Notamacropus eugenii: one gene and its partners. The protein of the gene in region 1 purifies or fractionates together with the protein of each later gene. This does not show direct contact. Links are inferred from orthologs where the notes say so. Each region holds a gene or a part of one and is shown in the gene's direction. Other genes may lie near its edges.

The links.
Region 2: the proteins of USP22 (region 1) and TADA3 purify together in Homo sapiens (affinity purification with mass spectrometry; 5 studies listed by BioGRID and IntAct, with this or other methods). This does not show direct contact. The link is inferred for Notamacropus eugenii from reciprocal best matches to the Homo sapiens genes USP22 and TADA3.
Region 3: the proteins of USP22 (region 1) and TAF10 purify together in Homo sapiens (affinity purification with mass spectrometry; 4 studies listed by BioGRID, with this or other methods). This does not show direct contact. The link is inferred for Notamacropus eugenii from reciprocal best matches to the Homo sapiens genes USP22 and TAF10.

Annotation. Positions count from the first base shown.
Region 1 is NC_092874.1:378,784,817-378,788,559, reverse strand, and holds the start of USP22 (ubiquitin carboxyl-terminal hydrolase 22), read left to right. Parts: upstream 1-1,321; 5' UTR 1,322-1,397; coding exon 1,398-1,517; intron 1,518-3,743. UniProt on the Homo sapiens protein: Deubiquitinase that plays a role in several cellular processes including transcriptional regulation, cell cycle progression or innate immunity.
Region 2 is NC_092874.1:435,652,465-435,656,207, forward strand, and holds the start of TADA3 (transcriptional adapter 3), read left to right. Parts: upstream 1-1,048; 5' UTR 1,049-1,187; exon of another isoform or gene 1,188-1,189; intron 1,190-3,743. Other genes in the region: ARPC4 (actin-related protein 2/3 complex subunit 4), read right to left, coding at 580-582. UniProt on the Homo sapiens protein: Functions as a component of the PCAF complex. The PCAF complex is capable of efficiently acetylating histones in a nucleosomal context. The PCAF complex could be considered as the human version of the yeast SAGA complex.
Region 3 is NC_092876.1:88,821,223-88,824,965, forward strand, and holds the start of TAF10 (transcription initiation factor TFIID subunit 10), read left to right. Parts: upstream 1-897; 5' UTR 898-1,004; coding exon 1,005-1,212; intron 1,213-1,660; coding exon 1,661-1,818; intron 1,819-2,276; coding exon 2,277-2,341; intron 2,342-2,483; coding exon 2,484-2,598; intron 2,599-2,858; coding exon 2,859-2,948; 3' UTR 2,949-2,984; exon of another isoform or gene 2,985-3,307; coding exon of another isoform or gene 3,308-3,457; intron 3,458-3,560; coding exon of another isoform or gene 3,561-3,691; intron 3,692-3,743. Other genes in the region: scaffold protein ILK, read right to left, coding at 3,308-3,457, 3,561-3,691. UniProt on the Homo sapiens protein: The TFIID basal transcription factor complex plays a major role in the initiation of RNA polymerase II (Pol II)-dependent transcription.

The DNA of each region.
Region 1 (3,743 bases):
CCACCGGGAGCGGGCGGAGGTTTCCAGCCCGGAGAGGGAGGGCCGTGATTTTAGCCTGGGACAAGCAGCGCCTCCTCCGGCCCCAGCTTTCCCCCAGCCCGTCCCTCCCTCGCAGGAAATCACTGGGGTAACTGAGAGAAGCCGAAGGCAGAAGCGGATATGACAGCAGCGCTGCTCCCACAACCCAGCCTGCCGCGGGCGGGCTCAGCTCCCAGACGGAGAGGCGCGGCCGGCCAATCCCCAGCCCGCACACGCCTCCTGCGGGGGGCGGGGGGAGAGAGACTGGCGACTGCGCCCTGAGTTTGAAATGAAAAGAGGGCGGGGCCGCGCCGGACGGACGGCGGCCCTCACCAATGGGTAGAGCCGCTGGCTGCCCCGACGGGAGTGACGGGAGAAACAGGCCCGTCGCGGCGTCACAGGGGCGGGACTCGGGGGGTGCCCCTTTTCCCTCCTTCTCTGCCTTCCCTCCTTCCCTCCCCCCTTGGGCGTCTGGCGAGCTAGGTTGGTCGGGCTTGAGGGAGCGGGGAGAAGGAGGAGGAGAAGAAGAGAAGGGGGGTGGGGAGCGGGGGGTGGTTGGGGGGGCGGCGGCGATCGGGAGCGGAGAGCGCGGCGGAGCGATTTAAAGAGACAGCGCGGGCGGGGGGAGCGCAAATAAACACCGGCCGCCCCCGACCCTCCCCATCCCCCCCTCCCCTCCCCTCCCCCAGCCTCCCCTCCCGCCGGCCTCAATGAATTAGAGGAAGCGGGACCCGGGTGGCAGCCGCGGCAGTGGAAGCAGCAGCAGCGGCGGCGGCAGCAGCAGCAGCTGCAGCAGCAGCAGCGGCGCCGCCGCCTCAGCCTCAGCCTCGGCCGGGCTCAGCCTCGGGGGCCGGGGCAGCGAGCGAGCGGGCGGCCGGAGGAATCCCGGGGGCGTCGCCGCCGCCGCCGCTTCGCCTGCCGCTCGGTTAAAGCCCCATCTTTGTCTGCCCCCCTCCTCCTCCTCCACTCCTCCTCCACCTCCTCCTCCTCCGCAGCCGCGGCCGCCGCGCTTTGTTCCGAGCCGCTTTCGCCTCAGGCCGGGAGGGAGCGGGGGACCCTCCCCCGGGTCTATGTGCCCCCCGCGCCGCCCCCCGCAGCAGCAGCCTGAGCCCCGGGAGGAGGCGCCGCCGGACCAGGAGGCGGCGGCGGCGGCGGCGGCGGCGGAGGCAGGGTTTGGGCCGCGGAGCTGAGCCGGAGCCTGAGGAGGAGGACCCGGCGCGGAGCGGCGGCGGCGGCGGCGGCGGCGTCCCACCCCCCGGCCCCGGCCCCGGCCCGAGCCGCCGGAGCCGTGCCCCCCCTGCTGCCGCCGCCGCCGCCCCTGGCCCCGGCCCCGGCCCCGGCGCGGCCCCGGCGGCGGGTGCCTGGATGTGGAGTTTGTCATGAGTCCGGCCGGCTGCTCGCATGTGAACAGCTTTAAGGTGGAGAACTGGCGGCAGAACCTGCGGGTCATCTACCAGTGCTTCGTGTGGAGCGGGACCCCCGAGACCAGGAAGCGCAAGGTGGGACCCCCGGGCTGCAGGGGAGCTGCCTTCCCACCCGGGGCGGGGGGCCACGGCTGCACGGGCTTGCATCCCCTTCCTGGGCGGGGAAGGGGAAGAGGGTGTGGGGCGGTGGGGTGGGACGGACGGAGGGAGGGAGGGGAGAGGGGAAAAGCACCTTAATCCTCTGCACCCCCCCTCCCCGGGGCCGGGACGGCCCAGGCCTGGGAAGGGGGGTGGAGAGATGAAATGGATGGGGGTGTGGAGGGGAGGAGGGGGCGGTGGCTCCCCGCAATGCCCCCCTGTCCTTCCTGGCCGCTTGGAGCTGGGAGTGGGAGGCCTGTGCGGGGGTGAGGAAGGAGTGTGTGAGTGTGTGTTTCAGTGGGCGTATCAGATCTGGGGGAAGAAACCGTTTACTTATTTTTTGGGGGGGTCCCCCACTTCTCATGGTTTGTGATTCACTTGGATGCAGGCACCAGCGCAGGAAGGATCTCCCCTAGGCTGAGCTCTGGATTGCTACTCGAGGGATTCAGGGTTTCCCAGCATAAGACTACTGCAAGAAAGCGTACAAGGGAGGAGGAAGAGGAAGGAGGGGGGTGGGGTATTTAAAAAAAAAAAAAAAAAGAAAGAGGAAGGAGATTCTAGGCACATCTGGTTGGGGGTCTGCAGAGGATCCTGCCCAGAGAGCCGGCCACCTTCCTGACTCAACTCAGGGTCCAGTGTCATCAGTGATGGACTGTGGGGAGGTCACCTGGGACAAGGAAACTGAAAGAGAGAACTGGATCTGTAATTCACTGTGTGTCAACGACTGGTGAATTACTAAGATGTAGTTACAACTGAGGCACTTAAGCAAACCGTTTCCTAGTCCAGGGTTTTGGATAGGTCCAGATGCTGGAAGCCTGCGTCTGCCCTTGCTCTCCCACTTTTCCCCCTACCCCACCCCCCATTTAATATATAAAATCGGGAGTAGAGTGTAGAGGGTGGGGTGTCTGCAAGAACAGTAGCAGGTCAAGCTTAAATAAAAAGTACCTTAGAAAGGGCAGGAAGACACTGTGATTAGAAATAGCTCGCTTTATGCCTGACAAAGAGAAATAACTTAATATCTTCTTAGCAAGAAAGTAAGAGATTGTTTTTGAGCATATTTTCAAATTCGTATCCCCAGATTAGATTCTTGTAAAGACATCCCGTTCGTTTGTTAATTGGAATTTTATTAACTGTTTTGCAGCAAGATCAGAAAATGTTTATCCTTATCTGCCTCTGAATAAACTGTTCTTTTTTTATCTTACTCTAAGTGATTTTGCAGATTTCAGTCTGACGTTGGTGACTGAGGTGAAGAATGCATCAGCAGTGCAGGTAGCAACATTGGCTATTCAGGACAGCAGGGATGAAATCTAATATTTTACTAATTGTAGAATTTGGGTTCAGTCATTTATCAGTGTGACTTTTCAAATCTGTTTAAAATGGTGGCTATTATAATGTGAAATGGAATATATTAAGTTGTTGCTTAAGTATATTCTGGTGATTACTTTGAAGTAGGTTTTTATCTTTTTTAAGTTTATTTAAATATCTGTAAGAACAGATGGGACATAAAAAGGTGTCCAGGAAACTTTCCTTACCCCAGTCCTCCAAATGAAAGCAATAGAAACATATGAACTGTAAATTGACAAGTTTAACTTAAAAAAAATAACAAGTTTTCAGAGGCTAAAGATTGGGAAAAACACTCATTTTGTGTCTGCACAAAACATTGTAAGCCAGTCTACTTTTAAAACTATAAAGTTCCTTGAATGTTCAGGTAATATTTGCCGTGAAAATTCATTATTAAAAATTATATTCTGAAGTTAAGGGGAAGTGGGGAAAAGCATTTTGTTACCAGTTCTTTGCAACAGTTATCTGCTTTGATGGGTTGGGCTTGGGAAAAGGGTGGGGGTTGGGAGCAGGAACAATAGACAACACACCAACCTGAATGTTAGGGAATATTGTAGTTTAGGGCCCCTTTTAAGTGTTTGTGTATAGTAAAACAATAATGTAAAAGATGCTCCAAAGCAGCATTCTTTGTGGGATGACTGGTGTGAAATAGACTTTGAGGGGTGGGCATGGTTGTGTGTGTAATTTCAGGAGACTGTTTAAAAATGACTCTTTAATGGATTGTGTGTGCTTTTCTTAAAACATGTTTCACTGTGTGAAATGAGGCATGATGGGGACTGGTTTTCTTTAACCAGCTGAAAAACTGAGTGACCCTTTTAATTT
Region 2 (3,743 bases), about 57 Mb from region 1:
CAAATTAGGAAATTAAGGCGGAAAATGACTCGGTCAAGGTCACTCAGCCCTGGTCCAGTGCAGGGCTGGGATCCAAATCTCGGTGCCCCATCTCCGAACCCTGTTTTTTCATGCCCCACCCCTGCCCACTTCCCCTTCTTCACTTTTTGCTCTTGCTGCCCCTCCCTGCTCCTCCTCCATCCCTCTCAGTCTTCGGGTCTCGCTCTATCATCCGCCCTCCGCGCATTTGCCCCTCTACTCATCCATCCCTGCATCCCCCCAGCCCCTGCTTCCCCCCTCCTCATCCTCCCCTTCCTCCCCCGTGCCCTCGATCCTCTACTCCCCACCCCCCGGGACGCCCCCTCATCCTCTCTGTGCCCTTCTGCCAAGTCCCTCATCCGCCCTCCGCGCCTTTGCCCCAGCAGCTCTCCCAGCCCCAGGGGCCCACTCAGGCTCCTCCCCAGTGGACCTGCCTCGGCTCCCCCACCGTCCCCTGATCCTCCTTAGCCCCTGGGAAGCCTCGGCTCCCTCCCCAGCGCAGCGTGGCCTCCCTCCCCTTGCCCCCCCGAGGATCCTCAGCGGACGCCCCCCAATTCTCACCATTGCTGGGGCTGGTTAGGCCGGAAAGCGGAAGTGCAGGAGTGCACTGGCTCCGGGGCGCCGTCTCTTCCGGGAGCCGGGCCTGGGCGCTACCACCGCTGCTCCAAGGGCAGGGGGAGCTGGAGCGAAACAACGACAGCTGTTCTCCTCTTCCCCTGAAGCTCGCAGGAACCCCTTCTCTCCGACGCTGGAAACCCTTCTTCAGGGCCTGACACGATGAGGGGAGCTCTGCCGTGTCTGTCCTTCCCTGTCACCCCTGCACCCCCCGCCTCTCTCCCCCTCCCTCAGCAAGAAGGTACAGCCCAGCTCGCCGTTCTGTCTCCATATTAGGACAGGGCCAGACACGGGATGGCCCCGCCTCTTCCGGTTCTGACCCCGCCCGCCCGTCGTCTGTTACTGCCCAGGCCCGAGCCGCCTAGGCTCCCCAGCCTCGCCCGAGAGTGGGCCCGGCCCCTTTGCACCACCCCCGGGCCGCAGTGGGCGGCTCCGCCTGTCCCTGCAGGGCCAGCAGTTACCTGAGCTCGTGGACCTGGCCCCTCCACCCGCGAGGGACCGAGGCCGGCCGAGCGAGCGCCTCGTGGGATCCGGATAGAGCTCGGGCTGTGAAGGTGGAGGCGGGACCGGGGCGTGGGGAGTGGGCGATGACACGGGGAGTGAGGAGGGGCGGGGGCTGTGGGGCTGAGGGAAGCGAGGGGAGGGGAGGATGGCTTGGGAAGGGGGGAGGGGGCGTGGAGGGGAGGGCCCATGGGGGGCTGCAGGGGAGGGGAGGGGAGGGGAGGGGAGGGGACGTGGAGGTGAGGGGCCATGGGGGGCTGCAGGGGAGGGGAGGGATGTATAGAGCAAGGGACTTGGGAGTCTGCAGGGGAGGGGAGGGGGTGTGGAGGTGAGGGGCCATGGGGGTGCTGTATGGAAGGGAAGGGGACGTGGAGGTGAGGGGCCATGGGGGGCTGCAGGGGAGGGGAGGGATGTATAGAGCAAGGGACTTGGGAGTCTGCAGGGGAGGGGAGGGGGTGTGGAGGTGAGGGGCCATGGGGGTGCTGTATGGAAGGGAAGGGGACGTGGAGGTGAGGGGCCATGGGGGGCTGCAGGGGAGGGGAGGGATGTATAGAGCAAGGGACTTGGGAGTCTGCAGGGGAGGGGAGGGGGTGTGGAGGCGAGGGGCCATTGGGGGTGCTGTATGGAAGGGAAGGGGACGTGGAGGTGAGGGGCCATGGGGGGCTGCAGGGGAGGGGAGGGATGTATAGAGCAAGGGACTTGGGAGTCTGCAGGGGAGGGGAGGGGGTGTGGAGGCGAGGGGCCATTGGGGGCTGCAGGGAAAGGATCAGTAAAAGGAATGCCCCTAATTCTGTGTTGGAGAAAGATGGAGGGGCAGGTCTAGGAGAGGGAATATGTGGAAGGTCAAGATTGGATGGCAGGAAGCAGGACCCTGACTCCATCTGCCCCTTCTCCAGCCCTCATTCTTCTAGACACTCTCAGTTGACAGTGCAGCGCTCTCTTCCGCTGGGTTTTGTGTCCCTTCTTTGTTCCACCTCTCCTCAGCATCCTTTAAACAACTGAATGACCACTCATTACAGACATACTAGCACATACCACATTGTCTAGTCAACAGACACATCTTTGTTATTGAGCAGTTGTGACTTCCAGGCACTGTGCGCAAGGGCGGGTAATACAAATGCTGGTGCAAAGGAAAGCCCTGTGCAGTAGGAGCTTCCACTCTGACAAGGGAGATGCCTTGGAAAGTCACAGGGCAGTCTGGGGAGAAATGAGACTGTTGACCTAGGCAGTCCTTCTTAAGTAGGAGTTCTGTTGGGAGCCATCCAATCAGAGGAAGAGGCTTCCTGACCCGGGCTACTTCCAAAGTGGGAGTTCCTGGACTGGAAAGAGGCTCTAGGTTGGGGGCCTGGTAGAGGAAGTCCAGTACTTAGCCTGGAGATGATGACCACGTTGGAGATACAAATATAAGACAGTGCCTGCTCTCAGGAGACTTACATTCTAATTGGGGGAGTTAATGAACATGGAAACTAGGGAAGAGAGCTTTGGTCTGAGGATTCACAGGGATGTGAGTTGTTGTACATAGGGCAGTCAGTTGACCTGTCCTTTTCAGAGGCAACGGCACTCTTGGTTTGAATACTGTGCCAAAGGTAGAAAGTTGAAGAAAGAAGGGTGCAAGGTGACAGGCAGATGGCAAGATGGAAGGCTGAATGGTATCTGATTGCCTGTTACTAGAAACAACGTGGACTAGGTTGCACTTACTCACTCACCAGTCAGGAGGACTGGGTCTGAGTGCAGAAGCATCATAGCTCACCTATAACTCTGAGCATTCTCTAGGGCTGTGACTGAGGTTCACTTCTCTGCATGTTTTTCCTTGGTGATAGCAGCTCCCATAGTTCAACTGTCATCTCTCTTACCTCTTAGAAAAGACTTTTCCTGATTTCCCCTAGTTGTAATCACTCCCTCCTCCAAATTATTTTGTATTTATTTTATGGGCATTTTTGTATTTATCTGTACACATATTGTTTCACCTCAGGAGGTTGCAGCTGACTTCCCAATCTCACATTGAAGGGTAGCATGGCATAGTGGATAGGCACTCACTGTACCTGGAGTCAGGTGGATCTGAGTTCATTTCTTCCCTTAGACGTTAGTTGTAGGATCCTTGACAATTCACTGAACCTCTCTCTGTTTTAGTTTTCTTTGAAAAGCGGAGGGTGGGGAGGGAAGGATCAGATTCCATGTTATCTAAGGTTCTTCCTAGCTCTCAGTCTATGATCCTATGAAATCCAGCTCTCACATTTGTTAGATCTGTCTCATTAGTCGCGTGCTAGACATCTCCAGGACATGCTATAGCCACTGCAATCTCGACATGTCCAAAACATAACTTCTTAACTTTTTCCTTAGACCTCTCCCTCCTCCTGCCTTTCCTGTATCTGGTGAGTATTCTCGCCATTAGGCCATGCTGCCTCTCCCTTTTGTATCTGGGAGTCAGCTTCATCTTCCTGAGGTGAAACAGATTAGCACAAACCCCACTGTCCTTCCGATCAGCCAGGTGGGGCTCGTTGTCTCATATCTCGTATTCAACCAGTTGCCAAGTCTTGGCGATTTTGCTTCCATAGCATTTCTCAAATGTGTCCTTTTGTATTTACTCCCATGCCCTTCTGTGGCTCCCT
Region 3 (3,743 bases), on another chromosome or scaffold:
TGAGAAATCATCCTTTTCCTTATGAGATCAATCTAATAATGCAATAATACAAATATAATTATAATATTTGATATTATGTGACAAAAGCAGTAGGGTTAAAAAACAAAGGCTCTACATCTGTGACACGTCATCAGCCTACAACGACTCACAATTTTACAGCATTTTAAAAGTAGCATCGTAAGGGACGGAGCAGTGTTTTACACATTATCGTTGCTCGTCGGTTGTGTCCCACTGTTCACAACCCCATTTGGGGTTTTCTTGGCAGAGATAAATGGAGTGGTTTGTCATTTACAGATGAGGAAACTGAGGCAAATCAGGTGAAGTGACTTGCCCAGGGTCACATAGCTGGTAAGTGAGGCCAGATTTGACTCAGGAAGAGAACTTCCTTATTCCAAGCCCAGAGTTCCATCCACTGTGCCGCCTAGCTGCCCATAAGAGGCTAAAAGTAACGTAATATGGAAATGAGCTGGATGCAAAACTTTACAAAGGAGACGTAAACCTGCCAAAAAAAAAAAAAGTTGGGATATAATCCGTTAAAGCACAAAGTGCACAGTTTAAAAATTAAGGCTTTTGTGCACGTGGGCGCAGCAAACAGATGCACTGGGGCCTCGCAGTGGCCTGCAAGCACTCAGGGTTAAGGCGGGGCCTAAACCGGGCCCTCACCCGAGGCCCAGAGGGAAGTTCACAGTCATCTCAAGGCCAAAGGGCGGTTTCCACGGCAACGCAGCTGTTCTGCAGACCCTCTAGCCTCGCGCCTCTCTATGGCCCAGGGGGCGGGGCGAAAGAGGAGCGCTAAGCGGGAACCGGGGGGAATCCAAGACAGGCCATTGGACTCGGCGTCGCAGTTGCGCCGGCGAGATGGGAGGGTGCGGCTTGGGCCGGAAGTAGGCGGAAGTCGCCTGAGGGGAGAGGAAAGCCCGTGAACGGAAACGGAAGCGGAAGCGCTTCTGTCCTAGTCCTCGGTCTCCACTTCCATCCCCGCTCCCCGCCTCCTGCCCGGCGCCATGAGTGGCAGTGGCGCGGACCCCGAGGTGGTCCCAGCCCCTGCCCCTGCCCCGTCGGGCCCGGCCCCGACTCCCATCCCCACCCCCGCTCCGGCCCCGACCCCAGCCCCGGCGCCGGCGCCCGCCCTAGCCGAGAGCAAGGCCAGCCCCGCGGGAGGCGCAGGCCCCGGCCCCGGCCGGGGGGATACATCCGACCGCCGGGCCTCGGGTGAGCGGGGAGCGCGGGGGGAGCGAGCCAGGCCCCGGATGGGGTGAGGAGAGCTGGAGGGAGCTGGGGCTCTCACGTGGGAGGCATCAGCGTCGGAAAAAGTGGTGCTGCCCAAAGCGAAGCCGCCCAGCCCCTGGCTCTTCAAGGAGAAGCTGGCGGATCCCTTGGACAGCGACCGAGGCTTCCTGCCCTTGAGTCTCCGAAAGTCCTGGGCTGGGCTGGCTGGGATGGGAGCCTTCCGAAGCGCTGGGGGAACGAGGGGATGGAGGGGGTGGAGCTGAGAAGTGCGAGCCCACCGGACCGAGCGTTAGGCACCTCCAGGCCCGCAGGTCCACACTACTAGGGGGCAGTAGGGACTTCTTTGGAGTTAAGCATCGGCTTCCTCGACAAACATTCCCCCCCCCATTCTCAGGCTCCATTGAAATTCCTGTTATCTGTCCTTTGCCAGTCCCAGTGTCTGCAGCTGGGGGTACTGCCCCCCCTGAAGGTGCCATGTCTAATGGGGTGTATGTGTTACCTGGTGCTGCCAATGGAGAAGTCAAGCCTGTTGTGTCTAGTACACCTCTGGTGGACTTCCTTATGCAACTGGAAGACTACACACCCACAGTATGTATAACCATTCTACCAATTAACTTTTTTTCAGTTCCCTGCAAGCTTTTCCTGGCCAACCTATTGCCATTTCCTCATCGTTAATTTTTGTTTAGCTATGAGATCCTTCTTTCCATCTCTGCTGTAATATCTTTGACGAGCAAAGCAAAAAACTTGTCTTTTCCACGTGTCTCAGTTGGACCCTAGTTTACAGCAAATGATAAATTCTCCCAAAGGCTCTAGTTTCTTTTAAGCCACTTTCTACATGAAGCTTTTCGTTTACTAAATCCTCCCCTCTCCTTCTATCTATAGATGTGTGTGCATGCACATATTCCCACCCCCACCCTTATACTGATTAGACCATAAACTCTGAAGTTGGGGACTGTTTTTGATACCGTTTTTTGTATCCCAAGTGCCTAGCATAGTGCCTGATACAGTGTGTACTTAATAACCAATTAAAAATTTGTTGCATTCAGATTCCAGATGCTGTTACTGGCTATTACCTGAACCGTGCTGGTTTTGAAGCCTCTGATCCTAGAATGTAAGTGATTTGGGACAGTAAATCCAGTCCCCAGCATCTATCTAGTGGGCATCTCTGGCTCCTTCTTGTACACCAAGTACAGATTTCAACTTGAGGGAGGGCTGGTTTTATCCCCACATGCCAACTCCTTCTACCTTCCCAGTGTCCGGCTCATCTCCCTGGCAGCCCAGAAGTTCATCTCTGACATTGCCAATGATGCTTTACAACACTGCAAGATGAAGGGCACTGCCTCAGGCAGCTCCAGGAGCAAAAGCAAAGTGAGTAGATGGAATAGGCTGGTGATGTGATCAGTGCTCCCCTGGGGCTCTTGGTGGAATGTGGAACTTCAGAACCTTTCTGCTGGCAGGCTTCTTTAGCCCTGTGAAAGCCACAGGGATTATCATCATCCCCATTTTGTGCGCATAGAAACTGAATCCAAATTGGTTAAGTGATTTGCCTTGGGAATGTAACATGTTAGTACAAGAATCAAGACTACGTCCCTGGCTCACACTACTGCTCTTTCAACTTTCTTTCCAAGGACCGAAAGTATACCCTGACTATGGAAGACCTGACCCCTGCACTCAGCGAGTATGGCATTAATGTCAAGAAGCCACATTATTTCACCTAAGCTCACCTCTTCCCCGGCTGGCCGGGATGTGTGTGGGTGTGTACACATTTGTCCCATTCCTTCCCCACCCACCCCCACACCAGCCTGTTTTCGTAATAAACCTTTATTGTGACTGAGGCAGGTGGCTGCTCCTCCCACATTGGGAAGACACCCAGAAATGGGGCTTGGCGTGATGTGAAACAAAGCTGAGCCTACCCCCGCCCCCCCCAAGGTTGGCAGATGGGGCAGGGAGGGTAGCCCCTAAAGCTGGGGGGGGGGGGGGGGAGCTGAGGTGGCTGTACCGTTGCCAGGGGAGGGAGGGGCCCTGAGGCCTGCTGATGGGAATGGGGTATAGGTATACCCCATTCCCCCATGTGGCTCTATTTGTCCTGCATCTTTTCCAGGATGGGCACAATCATATCAAACTTGGGCCTCTTGGCTGGGTCCTCATTCATGCAGATCTTCATGAGTTTACACACATGTGGGGAGATACCTGGAGGAATGGTGGGTCGAAGGCCTTCCAGGGCAACCTACAAGCAGCAAGAATCCCTAGGTTCAAGACTTCTCTCTGTCCCATAAATCTGCTTCTACCCTCCCTTCCTCCCTTAACATGCCCCCCTGCATCTTCCAGACCTTCATGCCAATTTCCATGTTGGAGAGGTCAGCAAATGGTACCTCCCTTGTCACTAGTTCCCACAACAGCACTGCGAAGCTCCACATGTCTGCAGAACGACGATTAATCTCCTCTGGCTTCTTCTGCAGGGCTGGGTCAAGGGGAGAGGATTGGGATAAGAACCCTGATTCTTTCCTTGTCTC